4 linked regions of the Drosophila melanogaster genome follow. The protein of the gene in region 2 purifies or fractionates together with the protein of the main gene of each other region. This does not show direct contact. Each region holds a gene or a part of one and is shown on either strand. Other genes may lie near its edges. The genes, in order: brm, yki, Leash and ex.

The links.
Region 1: the proteins of yki (region 2) and brm purify together in Drosophila melanogaster (affinity purification with western blotting; 3 studies listed by BioGRID, with this or other methods). This does not show direct contact.
Region 3: the proteins of yki (region 2) and Leash purify together in Drosophila melanogaster (affinity purification with western blotting; 3 studies listed by BioGRID, with this or other methods). This does not show direct contact.
Region 4: the proteins of yki (region 2) and ex purify together in Drosophila melanogaster (affinity purification with western blotting; 4 studies listed by BioGRID, with this or other methods). This does not show direct contact.

What each region holds. Positions count from the first base shown.
Region 1 is NT_037436.4:15,979,815-15,984,442, forward strand, and holds the start of brm (brahma), read right to left. Parts: upstream 3,056-4,628; 5' UTR 2,989-3,055; exon of another isoform or gene 2,755-2,988; 5' UTR 2,695-2,754; coding exon 2,454-2,694; intron 2,398-2,453; coding exon of another isoform or gene 2,386-2,397; coding exon 2,309-2,385; intron 2,075-2,308; exon of another isoform or gene 1,654-2,074; coding exon of another isoform or gene 1,371-1,653; intron 1,140-1,370; coding exon of another isoform or gene 556-1,139; exon of another isoform or gene 286-555; intron 191-285; exon of another isoform or gene 1-190. Other genes in the region: CG17027 (uncharacterized protein), read left to right, coding at 556-1,139, 1,371-1,653; Arl1 (ADP ribosylation factor-like 1), read left to right, coding at 3,463-3,466, 3,564-3,780, 4,049-4,370; PolD1 (DNA polymerase delta subunit 1), read right to left, coding at 4,572-4,628. UniProt on the Drosophila melanogaster protein: Transcriptional regulator. Acts as a coactivator, assisting one or more dedicated transcriptional activators of ANTC and BXC homeotic gene clusters. Can counteract the repressive effect of Polycomb protein.
Region 2 is NT_033778.4:24,065,442-24,070,404, reverse strand, and holds yki (yorkie), read left to right. Parts: upstream 1-1,919; 5' UTR 1,920-2,089; coding exon 2,090-2,940; intron 2,941-3,150; coding exon 3,151-3,242; intron 3,243-3,688; coding exon 3,689-3,844; intron 3,845-4,091; coding exon 4,092-4,144; intron 4,145-4,227; coding exon 4,228-4,332; 3' UTR 4,333-4,430; downstream 4,431-4,963. Other genes in the region: Gpat4 (Glycerol-3-phosphate acyltransferase 4), read right to left, coding at 163-405, 463-666, 1,071-1,205. UniProt on the Drosophila melanogaster protein: Transcriptional coactivator which is the critical downstream regulatory target in the Hippo/SWH (Sav/Wts/Hpo) signaling pathway that plays a pivotal role in organ size control and tumor suppression by restricting proliferation and promoting apoptosis.
Region 3 is NT_033777.3:10,883,919-10,888,546, forward strand, and holds the start of Leash (leash), read left to right. Parts: upstream 1-1,621; 5' UTR 1,622-2,054; coding exon 2,055-2,169; intron 2,170-3,426; exon of another isoform or gene 3,427-3,741; coding exon of another isoform or gene 3,742-4,392; exon of another isoform or gene 4,393-4,425; intron 4,426-4,628. Other genes in the region: CG14696 (uncharacterized protein), read right to left, coding at 802-916; Ak3 (adenylate kinase 3), read right to left, coding at 3,742-4,392.
Region 4 is NT_033779.5:429,401-434,274, forward strand, and holds the start of ex (expanded), read left to right. Parts: upstream 1-1,826; 5' UTR 1,827-2,717; intron 2,718-4,874. UniProt on the Drosophila melanogaster protein: Activates the Hippo/SWH (Sav/Wts/Hpo) signaling pathway, a signaling pathway that plays a pivotal role in organ size control and tumor suppression by restricting proliferation and promoting apoptosis.

The sequences.
Region 1 (4,628 bases), on a different chromosome or scaffold from region 2:
AATACGAATATGTTTAATGATAAGCATAAAAGCAAAGTTTAAAGATTATAAGACAAGTGATTGATCTTTATAATACAGTTACGATCAATTTTAACATAATATCTGCAAGGTTTCTCTGAGTATTATGACTTGCAGCTCGAGTGTGTAAATCATCCAATAATAAAGTCTGAGAGCGTCGAAAAATGCTGATAAAAACGGGTTTTACAACTATTTGACTGGCTGTCTGTGTGGAGATAAAAAAGAGTATGTCTATTTGTGTACATCAAACCAATTGAGATAAAACAGAGGCACGCAGCCAGGTGAGCTGCCAATTTTTAGTACACCCCTATGGGGCGATGTCGCAGCGATCATAAAAACGCGAGGCAGGCAAACAATCATAGAACGAGTGAATTGTAACCGAACCGCAAGCACTTCTCCAGCGCCAGCGCCAGCTAGACAAAATCAGCCGGAGCGTGGAGCTTCTCCCAGTGGGGTGCAATCTCTCCGATTAGTTGACATCGCGAGCTGAGCAGCGACGGATCGTTTTTTGCCCAAAGGAATACGCATAGAAGCAAGATGGCAGGAGTAAGTCAAGCTGATATCGAGGAGTTGTACAACTTTATCCATCCCCTGGCCATCAAAGCGGGCGAGATCCTCATGGAGGGCTACGAGATGGCCAGTAAAAACGTCTCAATCAAAGGCGATTTCTACGACGTGGTCACCGACTACGACAACAAGATTGAGGACTTTCTCATGGAGAAAATATTGGCCAGATACCCGGATCACAAGTTCATCGGCGAGGAGGAGACGGCTAAGAACAACAACGTGTCCGGAGAGCTGACGAATGCTCCCACCTGGATCATAGATCCCATCGATGGAACTTCGAACTTTATCAAGCAGATTCCACACGTTTGCGTTTCAATCGGTTTGGCAATCAACAAACAAATCGTAGTGGGAGTAATCAACAATCCTGTCCAGAAAAAGCTCTTCACAACGAAACTGGGCCAAGGCGCCTTTTGCAATGGCAAACCAATCCACGTGAGCAGCTGCGAGAGCGTTAAGGATGCCAATGTGGCCTACGAAGTGTCCCTGCTGCATGTCCATTCGGTGGCCAACAAGCATATCAAAAGGATCTACCATGTGGGATTGAATGCTAGACGGTAAGTAAATCATTTATAAATTTGAATCTATTTCGCAAAACTAAATCCCGTTGATATAGTGGGTAAAAATCTGTGAAATTAACAAAACAAAAGTATCTGAGTACTAAGCAATTAACCAGTCACTGCTAAATGAAAAGCTTTAATTGCCTTTTGTTCTCGAAGATAATTAAAAAGATTTTAAAGCTTTTTAAAAAGAAATTACCCCTTACAAAATATTGCATAAATCCACAGACTTGTTGCCTACTCCTGTGTGGTGGATGAGCTGTGCATGGTGGCCGCTGGCAATCTGGATGCCTTCTACATTGAGGACATGTATCCCTGGGATTGTGCCGCCGGCTCCCTGTTGGTTAAGGAGGCGGGAGGCGTGGTAACACATCCCTTTGGCGGACCATTCGACATAATGAAGCCGGATCTAATCTGCGCCGGCACAGAGAAGTTGCGCAAGGAGATCGAAGACCTTCTGCGTAAGGGAGACCAGGAGGAGTCCGTGGGAGGGAAGCCGGTGCAGAAGTAATTTAGGCAAGGCAACAACGATCTTAATTGAAAAGCTTGGGGTCAGCTGCACTGCCAATTGGCGCTCGAAGCTCTGCTAATGGGGAGCTTTCGGATATATTCCAGCTTTAATCGCCGGCAGCTGTTCCACGATACACGTCAAAAAGGCGGGAAAGCCCGTCAATCTTGAGACTTTGAAAAACAACACCGTATGATACCATAATTTTAAGCATTTAGCTGGCAAACAACTTAATATACAGATTACCTACTTGGAAATTTAGTATTTCTATACTTATTCACAAAGTTTCACGAATTTCGTATTGTTTATACCTTTTTCATATAGCATCCCTCAGAAAAATGTTAGTCTAACATGGAATTTAGATATTTATGTACCCATATCTGTATATAGAGTAAAGTAAATAAAGAAATTTAAAGAAATCCTTAATCTACCGTTTAGAATACTATGTAGATTTTATAGGATCTTTTACAAACGTATTAAGTATTTTAAAAACTTGCTAATTACTGATTATAAAAATTTTGAAAGTATCGATGGAAATATTTTCAATGTTTGCACTGAGCTACTGTTTGTCCAGATGGCATAGATTTGATTTGAGAACTGAGACATCTAAGTAGGCTTACTATTTTGATTCCTACGGCTAGACTTGGGGGTCACTTACATTGGGTGGCATTCCGTGGGTTTGGTAGGGGGACATGTTCGGTCCCGTCGGCGGCATCTGCATTCCCATGTGCGGACCTTTTGAGAAAACTACGGATAATTACGTGTGACTGGAGCGATTGGTGTTGGGTTGTTTAAGAACATACTCATCCCCTGGTGGTGCGGTGGCATATGATGCCCGGGTGGACCCTGGCCGGGTGGTCCGTGCTGCATGGGATGTCCGTAGGCACCGGGATGTCCGGGTGGCGGAGGTCCTTGCAGTGGACCCGGCTGCTGGTGCGGATACGGGCTGTGCGGCGAGGGGGCGGGACTCTGCGAGGGCGGGGCCATCGGACTGGGCGCCTGTGGCGGTGGCATGGGACTGTTCGCCGGAGAGGGCGAGGCCATATTGCAGCTCCTTTCTTGACTTTATCCAATAGCGATATCCAGCAACTGGTGCAGCCTAATCTGCAGATGGAACACACGTCAATGCACTGTATTTACCAACATTAAAGAAGCTATAGCCACGATATGTAATCGTAGCTACCGTTTTGTGTGCCTCTTTTGGCACACTTTTTCGCGCAGCCCGGTGCAAACCCAAAATAACGGCTAAAGATACGCCAAATCGGCCGAAATCAACTGCACGCTAATCGCACGCGAAGAACGCAATCGGATTGCTCCATTTGGCACCGAAAGTATTACCTATTAGCACTGTTTTCAGAAGGTTTTCTTCTCTTTTCACAACGCGACGCGACGGCAAAACTCTAATGGCGGCCGTCTCTATAACAAAAGTCACGCAAGGGTGGCAACTCTGTGAACCGGCAATAAAGGTGGGCGCGTTCAGCACAAGTCACTGTGAATATTTTTATAATTAATCTGTATGCACTCCTTAAAATGGTATTTATTTAAATTTAATTAATGATATTAAACGTTTTTTTAAAGTTATTAAAATGTTATTTTTTACAAAAATATATTCGTGCTGAACGCACGCTGTGACACGTCATGTTCGCGTGACCTGCGAATGGCAAAAACGAAACCATTCTCCAGCCCAAAAAAAAGTGAAAACAAGACTTCTGCGATTTTGTATTAATTGTAGCACCACATACAATTAACTAGGTTTACTAAACTTAAGCATTTAGAGGCAGCGCCAGCACTAGACAAAGTTCAGCCGTAATCATGGGTTTGTACAGCACGGAGCATGGACGTGGGGAACCTCCCCGTTCCGGCGACACCCGGTGACGAAGTCTGGTCATAAAAATCATACGTTCTTCTTCCAGGTGGGGTGCTCAGCTACTTTCGCGGACTGCTCGGCTCCCGGGAGATGCGCATCTTGATCCTGGGCCTGGACGGCGCCGGCAAGACCACGATCCTCTACAGACTGCAGGTGGGCGAGGTGGTCACCACGATACCCACCATCGGCTTCAACGTGGAGCAGGTCACCTACAAGAACCTCAAGTTCCAGGTCTGGGATTTGGGCGGACAGACAAGTATTAGGTGAGTTGGTTACACGAGAGCAGTATTGTGATGGCATTACCCAAGTCTTATTTAATATCTAGAAGACATATTTTCGGTTGTAGTTTAGTAAGCCTTTTGGGTTTCCAAAAAGCCATTATAATTGTAGCTGATAAGATAGGAAACATCTGCATCCACAACTTAACTTAAAATAGCTAATAGTTCTTTCTTTAGGCAGGCTACGTACATATATCTATTTGGCCTTTAAGAATGGTAATCCTAATCTCAATTCGTGCTATTTCCATTATAGACCTTATTGGCGTTGCTACTACAGCAACACGGACGCAATCATCTATGTGGTGGACTCGGCGGACCGGGACCGCATTGGCATCTCCAAGGACGAGCTGCTGTACATGCTGCGTGAGGAGGAGCTGGCCGGCGCGATACTGGTCGTCCTGGCGAACAAGCAGGACATGGACGGATGCATGACCGTCGCCGAGGTCCATCATGCGTTAGGACTGGAGAACCTAAAGAACCGCACATTTCAAATATTCAAAACGTCGGCCACCAAGGGCGAGGGACTCGACCAGGCCATGGACTGGCTGTCCAACACCCTGCAGAGTCGCAAGTAGATACTTAGCCAGTCCTCAGACCCCCAGATCCCTGTGTAAAAAATGTGTGTCCAAAGCATCGCCAGCTAGGGAACGTCAACAGCTTTTTTCAAATTGCAGATTGCGCAAAAAATCCACGAACCGAAAGAAACTTTGTAATAACTTCTAGTAATATAATTATTAAATTATAGGATTAAACAATTCATTAAACTCATGCAATGGTTACCACTCGGCCAGGCCGAATCGCAACACCCGCTTCTCCTGATTGTCCAGATCCAT
Region 2 (4,963 bases):
GATAACTACTCGACAGCCCAATCCCTATGCATGATGCTGTTCTCCAGTCTAAAGCGGAATACATTACTTAAGCGTATCCTTTGGGATAATTTGTAGCATGCATGGGAATCGGGACGATCGGGTAGTTGTGGAAAAGCCACTAAATGAACCGAATGTACTCACACCAACGAAGCATACCAATACCCGGAGGGGCATCAGGATGACGTAGCGGATGAAGAAGCCGAACACCCAGATGGAGGTGATTTTCCAGGAAATGAACTCGTAGTGCCTATTGGTGCGTGTCAGCATGTTCCAGCTCTTGAGCTCCTCCGCCTCGAAGCGCGACGTAACATCGTCCTCGATGATGGCCTCCACGCCAGACTTTACGTAGTCCAGGCATTTCTCAAAATCGAAATTGATTTCATCCTGCAAATGGGAAATGTTGTTTAAATCAGGTGCCCATTGCAATGCCGGACTCCTTACCTTTGTGGAGGAAACTGGCTTCTCTGGAGCGGGCTCCTGTGGCTGGGGCAGGAGTACCGCGTCCCTGGTAATCAATGTGGCTCCATTGGTGCCTTCTTTGGAATCGGCGTCGTCCACTAGTTGCACTCCCTGTTTGTCGTCAGTCTTGGGATTTTGAATGTGTTGGTTTTCTTTGGATGCTGTCTCTATACTAACTCGACCATACTGAAAGTAGAGGTGATTAGTTGTTAACGAGTCGAATCGGGGATTATCTGCAGATAAGATTATCGCAAGCATATCGTCGGACGAGGTAATGACTGGCACTTTACAAGTGTCTGGGAAGCGGCAACTTGGGTGCACTGGCGCACTCCTGCCCCGCAGATTCCTTGAGGATAGCCGAAGAATCTACTTAAAGCTTCCGGGCAAGCAATAGTTTCTCGAACTCGCCTGCATTGCAGTAATTGCGTAGGGCAGACGTAGTATGGCGTACTCCAAAAGCTGACTATATTTATGGACTTTGGAATAGCTTAACTATTGGTAAGACAGCACCATTTGCAAAGCCACCGCAGCAGTGGAGCACCTCAAATCGGTGCTTACTCATCTGAGGAACGAAAGCAAGCAATATTTACCTCGAATATCCTTAGGAGGAGGTTCACGTACGCTTTTCGGACGCCGATTGATTTGTTTATGGCGGAAATAAATATGAGAAATGAGAGGAAGCCCCCGATGGGGATCCAGAATATGTCCAACAGCACGGCGATCATTTTACATTTGTGTCATGCGACATTAGTTATTGTTAAGCGAAAAATGCCTCCGAATTGTGTCGTGCCAATATATACAATGTTAAAATACTTTTTGCTGTAGACCGAACTAGCGATGGACCTTGACTGTGTCAAAAACCTGTCTCGTGCTCACAGACCTGGCCCGCGCTCATCTCTACGGGGAACAAACGGAAAGGGGACGATTCCGGTCGGGCAGGAGACGGAACGGCTTCTTGTTCCACTGCCAATCGTTTTGAAAAGGGTTGAATGAACGTGCACTGAAAACAAAAAGGCACATTTACATTCAGATTATATTGTTATTGGGTATGTGTTTTTGACAGACCTTTACCTGCACTTATTACTTAAATCAACAAGGCACATTTACAATCAGTTTATATTGTTATTGGGTGTGTTTTTGACAGACCTTTGCCTGTACTTATTTTCACTAAACAAAATGTTATAAACCAATAAATAATAATTGTTAGTCTAATAATTTATAGTCTGATATTATGGAACACAAGTGTGTGGGCTATACACACACCATAATTTAATATCTACTTTGTTTTGTGCCTTATTAATTACAAAATATAGAATAAATCTTTAGCTATAGCTAAAGGAAATCGACAAAAGTCGTAATCGGCTTGCGGAATACCCCTGGCATTCCGCAGGTGCAGCCACGAAGCCGATTACATGAGGAACGCTAGTATCGGAATGGACAAGTGGACGGGGATAGCCATCTGGCAACACTGGGATAAATTTATTTTATGTTGGCAGTTCCGTAATTATTATTATTACTATTATTTATTGCAACGAAGTTTAGTTTTTAACACCTTAATGTTATAGTTTCGCGCAGCGCGATGGAGTGATACGTATATGGAAGAACATATATGTGCGCGTGCCTAATCGCTAAGATAATTCTATGTAGTTTTCGTTTGTATACAATAAGTGCCTTTTATATGTTAACGACGATGTCAGCCAGCAGCAATACAAACAGCCTGATCGAGAAGGAGATCGACGACGAGGACATGCTTTCGCCGATCAAGTCCAACAACCTGGTGGTGCGGGTCAACCAGGACACGGACGACAACCTGCAGGCGCTATTCGACAGCGTCCTGAATCCGGGTGACGCCAAGCGCCCGCTGCAGCTGCCCCTGCGCATGCGGAAGCTGCCCAACTCCTTCTTCACGCCCCCGGCGCCCTCGCACTCGCGGGCCAACAGCGCCGACTCCACCTACGACGCGGGCTCCCAGTCGAGCATCAACATCGGGAACAAGGCGTCCATCGTCCAGCAGCCAGATGGCCAGTCGCCCATCGCCGCCATCCCCCAGCTCCAGATTCAGCCGTCTCCCCAGCACAGCCGCCTGGCGATACATCACTCCCGAGCCCGCAGCAGCCCCGCCTCGCTGCAGCAGAACTACAATGTGCGCGCCCGGAGCGACGCAGCAGCAGCCAACAATCCGAATGCCAATCCGAGCAGCCAACAGCAGCCCGCTGGGCCCACTTTCCCAGAGAACAGTGCCCAAGAGTTCCCCAGCGGCGCCCCGGCCAGCTCGGCCATTGATCTGGACGCCATGAACACCTGCATGTCGCAGGACATTCCCATGTCCATGCAGACAGTGCACAAGAAGCAGCGCTCCTACGACGTCATCAGCCCCATTCAGTTGAACCGCCAACTAGGCGCCTTGCCGCCGGGATGGGAGCAAGCCAAGACCAATGATGGCCAGATCTACTACTTGAAGTGAGTTTGGGCAGATTTTAAAAATGATATGCATGAAGCTTTATTTAATACGTGTCTTCTTTATGAACTTATGAAAACTAAAATATTCTTGTGAGTCACAGAAATCTCATTGGCTTCGTTGGATGTCTTTCAAGTTTATCTCTTAATCATTACTAGCTCAACTAATACCCAAAACAGCAATCTCAACAATGGTGTTCTCTCTACTTGCAGTCATACTACAAAATCTACGCAGTGGGAGGATCCCAGAATCCAATATCGCCAGCAGCAGCAAATCTTGATGGCCGAGCGAATAAAGCAGAATGGTAGGTTCTATCTTAGATGTAATGCCTTAGATAAGCAAGTCGTTAACTGCCTGTGGCTGCGTCTCATTGTTAACCCACTTAAATCAGCCATCAGAGGACTAATTAATGCTAGAGACCAGGCAGGGATAAGATAGGCTCTAACTCATTCCAACTAACGCATGAACAGCACAGTACACAACCGATTTCAGGGAGTCCATTCCGTCCATTTTGAGCGCGCCAATGCACTTTTCGGGATTGGGTTGGAGTCTGATCATTTTGGCATTCGGAAGTGGGAGCTCGATTGGATTTGCTTTGAGCATACTCCAATTGATTTTGATATGTGCTGCATGCTGGGCGCCAGTGCCCCTCCGTTCTCATCCGCTTACACACTGCAGCATTACGTTGAAGACATATTTTAATTTGTTTTTATTTACTTTGGTTTGTAATTCATTGTTTTTGTTCGATAGATGTTTTGCAAACTACAAAACAAACTACCACATCGACCATTGCTAACAATTTGGGTCCACTGCCGGATGGTTGGGAGCAGGCAGTTACCGAGTCCGGAGATCTTTACTTTATAAATCACATTGATCGAACGACTTCATGGAATGATCCCAGAATGCGTAAGTCTCGTTCCACCACCCCGACTAGCGTAAGACAACGAGACACACAGATATCGTAGCGATATCGCTAGATAACATTGAGTGCGCAGTGGGCGGGGGGCCGATCACGTAATTCCCATGGCATCTCTGCTTTCACTATATAGTATAGTACTGATCTTGAGATAGAGGCCGAACACTCCACACTCCTTATCGCTCCATGCCTCGCCTTTACTAACTTAACGCCTTCCCTTACCGTGTATCTTTGCAGAATCTGGGCTTAGCGTGCTCGACTGCCCAGATAACTTAGTGTCTTCCCTCCAGGTAAGCATTCGCAGTTGCCGACCGCCGAGTTGGCGAACCGAGTTCCACGCCACTACCTCACTTTGCCCACTTTACGCTTTCAGATTGAGGATAATCTTTGCAGTAACTTGTTCAATGACGCACAGGCCATTGTAAATCCGCCGTCTTCCCACAAACCTGACGATTTGGAATGGTATAAAATTAATTAATTCAATGTATACATCTGTATTAGACCTAAAAGTTTTATATTTTGTATTATTCTAAATTAAATATTTTTCAAATTTTATAGTATTTCTTTACATAAACGAATTTGTGTGTTTATCATTATTACTGGGCGCCTTGTTTCTGGGTTTTAAAGCTTCCGACGATCAGTGAACGCACTGATTGAAAAGAAGATATCTGATTCAGATGACTTTCGAACGCCGAAGAGAGAGTTCAGGTGGATGAAAGGTGTGGTCAGCAGCGATGACTCATGCCGAAACCCGAATACCCCGACTATTGTAAAGTGCAAGCCAAGTAACCAAGTAACCAGAATGCGGCGTGCATTTGGACCAGAATGCACGCGATTCATGAGCTTCATTGAGTTCGATCTGTGACCGACCCAGCAGATTCAGCTTTACGTGGAGCCAAAGACATCCATGCTCATCGGTGTCATTCGCTTGCGAATCTGTTCGCGTTCGCTCTTTATCAATGCTTACCCATGAGTCACTTTTGCAAATATTCTTCTAATTTAGCATGAATTACTTATTTTCGTGATGTCAAGCTAGTCATCGTTTGAATTCTTTCAACAGCTTTCATAGATGATAAGAGTTGGACTTGGGTTTTTCACCACAGCTTTGT
Region 3 (4,628 bases), on a different chromosome or scaffold from region 2:
AATTGGATTAATTTGTCTGTACTGCCGGGTATGTAATTCAATTATGCATTTAGTTTAATTGCCATTGACCTTGGACCTTTTGTGTGTTTCGGATGTAGAATTGTATTGGAAAATTGCTCAGCTACAAACAACTGTCTTTGTTAATGAACTAACAATAATTTAATCAGAAGCATAAAAAAAACGAATGCTACCTAATAAAGTTCACCATCAAATTAAAGCGCTGCTAAGGCTCGACTATTTGATACCCTAGGAAATATTTGATTATTTGAATTTGAACCGATGGCTAGGGTCCACTTAGCTTGCTAATGGGATTTGTATAAATTTATATATATATGTATATCTGCATGAATTACGCCTAATTGACCCAAAATGCTACCTATACACTACAATTTAAAGGTATTGGCACGAACGGGCTGACCAGTAACTGAATCAAATATCTAATAATACAAACAGCGTACGCAATTTCAAAACAAAACTAGTTTTTACGCCGCTATCAGATATCCGCCAGCCAGCCAAGCGGCCACATGTGTGTTGTATATAAACTTTATGTATACATACATATATGTACATTTGTATATACAATACACATCTTTCAAGCATATCTACCGGCAACAATAACATTAAACCAGCGGATAACAAAGCACCAACAATATTAAGTGGATATTTATTTATTAGTGGATGGTAAAACGGTATGGGATTCAGAATTTGAATGGTGATGGAGGGGGATGACGTCATGGTTTCGAGTCCATTAGAATACATATGTATGTAGTGCGTCTTCTTCCGCATGTCGGTGTCACTTACATCGAATCGTCTTGGGGCGCTCCGTAATCAGTTCCGCCGTGCCGGAGATAAGCTGACCGGCTTGATAGAGCCCCAAAGGATTGCTGTCGAAGACGAAGTTCACCTTGCTGCTCATCCTGTCCAGAATTGGCTCCTTGGCGACGGTGTCGGGTGGTATCGCGCTATCAAGTTCCTTTGTTTGTTTTATTGATAGTTGGTGGAAGAGGTAGGGATTCGATGTATTCGAGGGTTCCGGCGACTCAGCTCGCAAGCTCCGAACGCGAGCAGCTCTGGCTTAATACTGAATTCTCAAAAGTCTTTGGTGAGACCGAAGAACCGAGAAGCAAACTTTTGTGCGCGAGAGGTTACAAGAAGAAGAAGCGAAGGACAGAACGGGGAAGCACACGAAATACTATATGGAGCATTATGCTGCTAAGCCAACTAAAGTTTAATCTTAATAAAATATGTATGTATGCTTCAATCATCGCTGACATCTAAGCTGAGCGTTTTGTTATCTATACAGTAAAATATTTGGTAATTATTATTCGTAGTGAAATATATCAACTTAAATTATTGGCGATATTCAAACAGAGAGTTTCTTCTTCTCTTTTCAAACATCAAACCATAAAAAAAGACCATTACTACCAAGCATTTCTGAACTCTTGCATTACAACTGAAAACAGTGCATTTAAGAAACGCTGTTTAGAACTTAAACTTTAAATTAGACACATTTGAAAATACCGATTAAAAAGTCTGCGAATTAACCGCTTCAGCTGGCCAGGCGCCCGGTGGCAGCACCGCGCAACAGCTGTTCGTGCTATCGGACCGCCGCTCTCACGGTTATCGAAAGAGAGCTGCAGCTACAACAAAAAAGCGTAACTCACGGATCTCGTAAATTTATAAGAAATTTAATTATTCAACCCGCCAGCGGACGACAGCAATCGAATTAAATTAGCCCGGGGTGTGCGACCAACACTTGTGGGCCATTGCGAATTGATGGATATCGAGATTCCCCAAGAACTGGCCACAATCAGCGCGAAAAAGCTCCCACTCACCGCGCGGTGTGTGTAGTAACATCAAATCGTAAATCGTGAGGCGAGTGCGTGTGGTGGTGCTACTATTCTGCATATACTTTAGGGTGGTGCGGGCCGTGGTGCTGCAGTGCATCCATGTACGTTTGTATGTGGCGGCATTTTGATGACGAAATTATTTTTGGATAAGTGCGTGAGGAAAGTGGCCAAACCGGAGGAGTCATCACCATCAACGCCAGCGGAATGGAAAGCGAGCGGCTGCGAATCACGCTGGACAGCGCGGATCGGGTTTACTTTGCGGGCGACATAATTCGCGGCGAGATCTGGATGAACGTCAACAAGCGCACCAAAATACGCGGTAAGTGCCAGTCGAGCATAACTTGCCGCTTCCTGGAATGCACATCTCAAAGCTCGGCTTGCATCATCCATGACTCAGCTGTAGACACGCAGAGAAAGTGTTTCAAAACCCTACATTTAACGTTAGGCTCTTAGTTTATGATTCTGGGTATTGTTTACATGTGTACATATAGATCGTATTACCGAAAAGATTTAGCTTAGATATAGTAATCTAATATTAACAAAGATGGTTTTCTGCACAACCCATCATGTACTCCACAAATAGAAATGTGCTTTTTTCTGTTTTGTCAGCGGTTTGCAATCCATTGTCCGCCCGATGGTCAGCTGGACTTTCGTTGCGGCCCCATTCGCATAAACAAAGAACTCCATCAGTTAACAAAGCACAGCGGCCATTTTATGGGGCTTCCTCCCCCTCCGCTTCACCGCAATTTCGAGATTCTTGCTCGCAAATTCCTCTAATTGCCTTCGGCGCTCGCCTTTCATTCATCGATAAGCTTTCAATTGCCGCCCGTTGCAATTGCAATTGAATTTCTTTTCGTTCTTCACGATTCTTGAGTACTGGCATTTGTTTCAGGAAATGCCAACCCAAACGCATCGCGCGAGAGGGGAGTGTAGACGGTGGGGGCATGTGCGAAGAGAGGCACACTCAGTTGGCGTGCCGAAAAAGCCGTAATATTGGGCCAAGCGCAAGTCGGGTCTAAATGAGAGAGAGGTGAGAGGGCGCTCGCAGCACAGTGGTGGCCACAAAGGGGTTTATATAGGTTTTTTTTTTTAATTATCCAGAAATAAGATTCCCAGTAATGGTATATTCCGAAGTATAGTGTTTAAAAGGCAAACAGCTATCTCCATTTTATTATGAAGTATACCTTTAAAACAATAAGTGGTTTATTGAATTTTTTATAAATGACTTAAAGAATTTTAAATCTGACATAATTGGGCGCCCTTGACTGTACAAGCGCCTCTCTGTTGTGATTTGCCACTATACAGGTGTGCGTGAGAACAGCAGCTGGTCCGTGCATGTGTGAGTAAGAGAGCGCGAGACTAAACGGGAGCGCCACACTATCCCATATTTTTTAGAAATTAATGCGCTACGCGATAAAATGAAGGGCATTTGGGTGTCATGAGGTGAAGCTAAAAGTGTTGGCTTCACGCATGGGGCCAAGGGTTTGTGGACATTGCCTAAAAATAGATCGACGGCTGTCCGTTAACTGCCCAAAAGTCAAAGTCGGCTGTTATCAGCGCATATATATATATATTTATATATATAAAAAACGCGATTTATTATCAGAGCACAGAATACGAGTACAAAAATATGTTTATACAAAAAAGGGGGGAGCTGCAAGACATGCTCATGAGGGGAATGATATCTGTGGAAGAAGGAATACATGACAGCTGCTACTGTGTAAGGCTTCGCAATTACATTAATTATACGCCTGTTCCTCTTAACCGGCCCACAAACATACATATTTCATACGTATTCATTTATATATATCTAAATATATTATGCACTTAATTGAACACAGCAGTTTATCGTTAGTTTGTGCACATTGGATGTAATTTCGGGGTTGCTCCATTACGCATTTATGCGGTCGTTGAGGAAAAGCTCCATCATCGGCCAGATCTCCTTTGTCTGTTTTCCCTTGAAAGTGGCAACCAGACCCTTCTTTTCGTACCAGGCTATTACCGGGCTCATCACCTCATCGTAGAGCTCCAGTCGCTTGGCCACCACATGGGGTTTATCATCTTCGCGTTGCATCAGCGGCTCCCCCGTCACATCATCTTTGCCAGGCACTTTGGGATTCTTGAAGCCAATATTGTACACCCTGCCGGAGGGCGCATGGATCCAGCGATTCTTGACCCGGTCGATAATCACACTATGTGGAACGTCCAGCGTGATCACGGCATCGATTTGCTCGCGTGCAGCCAGTGCCTCGGCCTGGGCTATATTGCGCGGGAATCCGTCTAGGATGTACGACCTGTTGCCTACCTCGGTTATCCGGGCCAGCATCGTCTTGGTCACAATCGCGTCGGGCACCAGTTTACCTTCAGCAATGTACTGCTTGGCCTTTTTTCCAAGTTCTGTGTTTTTTATGATGTTCTGGCGCAGAATGTCCCCCGTGGAGATGTGCACACATCCATGGTTCTTGCAGATCAATTCCGAAATAGTTCCTTTGCCCGAGCCGGGGGCTCCGATTATCACAGCGCGAAAGATTTTCGTAAACATGTCTAAGCTCTAGTTCTTCAACCTCTCCTTGAGCTGCAAGACAAAAAATTGAATTGATACATGGTTAAATTTAATATGATATGATAAAAAAATTCGGTTTATCTATTTAATATAGGATCTGTTTTTATATTTTGATTTAGGGTCAATAACATATAATCTTGGCAGTAAAACCAAAATTATTTCAGTTGACCATACTCGACTACTTTTATGGGCGATAAGACTATCAAGCACGCCAC
Region 4 (4,874 bases), on a different chromosome or scaffold from region 2:
TGCCAAAAAAAAAGGCCAGAAATGCGCGCCAATTCCGCAAAAGCGATTCTCTGGACCGGGAGACTGGAGACTGAAATCGACTTCAAGGAATTGCATAAAACATTTTTGGCCGTTCTTTTTTTATTTTTTCACTCTCCTCGCTCAAAACTTCGGCCTCGACCAGGCTCCAAACCTCGCACACACACAAGCACAGATATAGAACGTATGTATATCTACACGATATTGACCAAGAACGTAGTTCCCAAAAGGCTGCTTACAGCAACAACAACAACCGGTCTTAGAGAACCAGCGACCAAGCGATCGACCAAAGACGAAAGAATAACGAACAGCCACAAAACAAAAAAAAAAAACAAGAATGAAAAGCTTGGGCTTCAAGTCGAAGATGGAAGTACTCTAGATCTCTTGTAGTCAGACTGATCCGGTGGGTAACAAACTACCTTTACTCAAATTCCCTTACACCATAGGCTTGTCAATAGAGAAATTTTCAAAATTTGTCCCAGGAGTGGCATGTACTTTTTTTGAAACCTACAAACCTTTTTTAATTCTTCCCGTTGTATCCCAAACAGGGTATAGCAGACACCACAACGCAAAGTACACTCAAAGAAATCAAAGGCTGTGCGAGTTGTTCCCATCGAAACCCCGCCTCACCGGAATGTCTCGCCCAATTTCTACCCCTGCCCCACCACTTCCCTGACTTCAGTCAACAAGTTATGTCCATGGCAAGACGACCCGACCCCGACCCCTTGACTCTCCAATTCTGAGTCTTCGACTTTTGGCCGGGTCTTCAGGGGCGTAGCGAGGGTTTGGCACCGGGGCACAACTTCGATCATCATTATATAGTCTTTTGGTTGTGTTTAGTTACGATTTTTATATCATTTAGACTTTTTTCCATATAATCTAAATTTTGTTTTCTGTGGATTTTTCTAAGTAGCCCCTTGGACGAACTGGTTAAAACCTTACTTGGCTTACACTGATCCCCGCCCTTTCGTGGGGCGTGTGTATGCCGCATATTTGAAGCAAATGATGGTTGAAGAGGTGGAGGAGGGGAAATGAAAAGGAGGAAATCTAAAGAAGAGAAAAAGAGGGAAGAGGGAGCAAAAAGAATCCAGCAAATCAAGCTCACATTATGCTGAGGAATGCGCCCAAGTGACGATATCGTAGCAGCAGAGGACGCCGATAGAGGCAGAGTCTTCAGACCCTCAAGTTCCGATTCCGATTCTCCCTCGTCCAGTGCATCTGTATCTGGAGTTTTGCCCAGAGAGTTTATTTATAAGATAGTCGCATCGATGGCTAGCGCAGGGATACTGAAAGCTAGATTTGAATCCAATAGGCTTCCGCCATAGTTTGGCAAAAAGTGAATGCCAAAAGATAGAACTCATAATGTAATTGTAATATACAATGTAAACTACAAGATAGCATGTGATAAAAAGCAGAATTAGAAAGAAAGGTACCTTTGTTAAAATTCTCATATGCATTTTACTTAAATCTGCTATCCTAACAGGGTATCCTTTAAGCCCTTGAGAATCGGAATCGTCGTCTCGCGAGATAAGCCATTGGAATTCCACTACTCACACGGACGCACACACTATGTAGTTGGCTACTGGGATTCTCCTTTGAAGTTTGTTTTTCTTTTATTGCTTATTGCTATTTACATTTTCGTAGCCGTTGTTGTTGTTGCCATCGGGTTTGTGTATCGCTGTGTGCGCTTCTTTCGAATTCGAATTCTCTCTTGGGCTCTCTTTTCGTTAAACGCGGCTTCGTTAAGTTTTAACGAAATCTCGACTCGATCTTCGTTGTGTTCGGTTTCGCTGAGCAGGGGCAAAATCAGTATATCGCTAAACGTCAACGGTAACCGAACAGATCGTCGGGACAGCAAAGCATGTGCTTTCCACTGGGAAATATAAATTCGGTTTAATGAATTTATTCGAGACCTAACATTCGGAAAAGTTGTTCTTCAGATCTTAAATGCACACCGCACGCACACCAGATCGCCCAGACACACACAGAGCTACACAGATTCAGTTGCTTAAAGTGAAGTTCGGTTTTCACTGAAACAAAAACAGCGCGCTTCGTTTTCGCACTCGCCTCAATTACAAAAGTGATTTTTGTTGGTGTTGGTGCAACTAGTTCTGATTTTGGGAAAACGCGCCTTAAAACCACGAAAATATCTACGACTAGTAGTGTAAAAAAGCTGAAGTCAACTCCGAAAAGTTGGTGCTGGTCAAAAAGAAAAAATTCAGCCGCAACAACAACTGCCCACTGGAAACTACAACTACAACAAATAAAGCAGTCAGCAACAGCAAAAACAACAACCCAGCAAACGGCATTCTTTCGCGCAACAACAACGACTCCACGCACACAGATACTCTCAGTTGCGCTCGCCCGCGTGTGCAATTGTTCTGGTGTTAGTGAGTTTTGATTAAAGTATGTGCGACGCTGGAATGCGACCCGATCGCTGTTGACTGCGCAGTCGCAGCGCGCGTCGTGGAAGTGGAAGAGGTCAGAAAGTAACAACAACGAAACGAAAATTTTACTGTTAGGCACTTATCGATAGCCAAATCAATAGATCGGTTTTAAGAGTGCACGAAGAGTGAGCTTTAGTTAAACAAAACTACCAAACCAAAATTAAAAAGCCAGTTATTGTGGATTACGCGAAACCGAAACAGAAGCAGATACAGATACAGCATTAACAATGCCGACTTCTGCAGCGGCTTAAGGTAAGAAAAGGACAGATACACGTGCAGATATAGAGTGGTGTACCCATATGGGGCCATTTCCCCGGAATTTTAATGACTCCCTGAAAACGGCAAACAAAACAAATGCCAGCAAATTTCTTATCTGTCAACCATAAAATCGCCAACGTCCAACGATTGTTTAACATTTCGTTGTTGTCGCCAGCTTTTTTCTTTAAATTTTTTTTTTTGCGTCCCGCTAAGAGTCAAAAATTCAGCGAATTGTGCAATTAACCCATTTCGGGCCATGGAATATCAAATGTCAGTCAAACTTGACACTCTACGGAGGGTATATTGAAATGGGGAAGCTGTTTAGAGTACTATTGTGTCAAATATATATGTACATTCACATGTGCATACATATGTAGTTATATAGTAGGCCTGACCGACTTTTTAAATACCGGTCACATTTAATTAATTTTTTTTGACATTTTCTATGCGGCCCTAAAGTATCTTTGCACAGGGTTTCACTTATCTCGGGATCCAATTTCCAAGTGAGCTAGTCAATTTGATAGGTTCTATGGCTAATAGGCGACTTAAACGGTTGTCAGAACGATCGACGGCGATGCAATTAAGTGAAAATGGAAGCTCCACAGAGTTCTATTGTTATTCCCGGGTTTGGAATTTCAACCGTCCATCGGGATCCCTGGAACAATTGCTGAAATCAGAAACCGCTTGGCAATCAGACATCTTGAATGTAAATCAGCGAAAGATAAACAAACGGGTGAAAACACACGCTTTGGGTATCAGTCGATAAGCTTTAAGCGGTTAAACGCTAATCGTTAAACGATTTTGCCACCAGGCAATCATATACATATGGGTAACTGTATCTGCGGACAGACGTATCTATATCTCGGCAAGTACACATGTATTCCCCGGATCGTAGTTTTAGTTCGCTTGTGGTTTTTTCGATTGAGCACTGACGTCTACATCTCCATCTCCGTGCGTATCTCTTGATCTCCACATCACACTTGACCTCAGGCAATGGGCTTTTGCATTGAAGCTGACAACAGCAACAGCAATGATCATACAAACTCAAAATATTAATTTCGTAAACTGAAATTCCTGCACGCAGTTGATATGCGTGTGCGAACATTGAAAACTCTGGTTGCTCATTGCCTCGAACAATTCAGGCAATTAAAATGTACAACAAATTAAACAAATTTCGAATGACAATCGGAGTCGAGGCTGGCTCAGAGATATAGAGGATACACTAATGAACGACCTTCGAGGATTAAAAAAATGTACTTATCTCTATGCTCGTAAAAAAATATTGTTTCAACAACATATTGCCAGATAGGCAAAAACTTAAAAGCCTCTTTACTTAGAATTGGTCAAAGAATTATTCTAGCCATAATCAAAATACCTTAAACTTTAGAATTATTGGTTACTCGTATTATAGCGCATTCATTTAACCCAAGATACCCTGTATGGACTGCTAATTTTTCTACGGTATTATGGCAGCATAGTTTCGCACGCCTCCGATTTGGCATGCGGCACACGTTGCGGCTTCTTTTTTGTTTTTGTATCTTGCTGTTTGCTGCTCTCATTGTGGAGGCCATCGCCTCCGCCACCGTTACCACCTTCGTTCGCCCAGTTGGGCATTTCGCGTCTGCGGGGTGTGGTGCGCAGTGGAGGAGAGTGGTGCGATGTGGTGCGATTTTGTGGTGCCTAGCCAACTGAAGCCGAGCGACGACGTGTGGGCTGCTTTCTTTTGGCCCACTCCGCCCTGGCTGCTCCTCACAGCTATCCAGCCAACCGAGCAAGCGACCATTTTCATTATTATCATCGGCGGTCGGCGGGGACATTTCACGCATTTCAAAGACATCAAATTGTTTGGCCATAACTGGCACAACAAGTGGAATTCCGCAGCTCGGAATTCGGCATTTGCCGCTTTGCTGTTTTATTTCTCAGTCGCTTGTTCCCTGATTTCTGTTTTCTCCTATTCGATATTCGCAGTTTGGCAAAGAGACGACGAGTTATTTGGCGATTTGATGGCACACTAAGCCCGGCATACAGAAAACTGCTTTCATAATTACTTGCGATGATTTCAATTCAAAACAATATATATTATCCACATAATGCTTTAAAGGTGTCTGGAGTTCGCGAATTTAAAACACCGTGTGCTTTATGAGGTACACC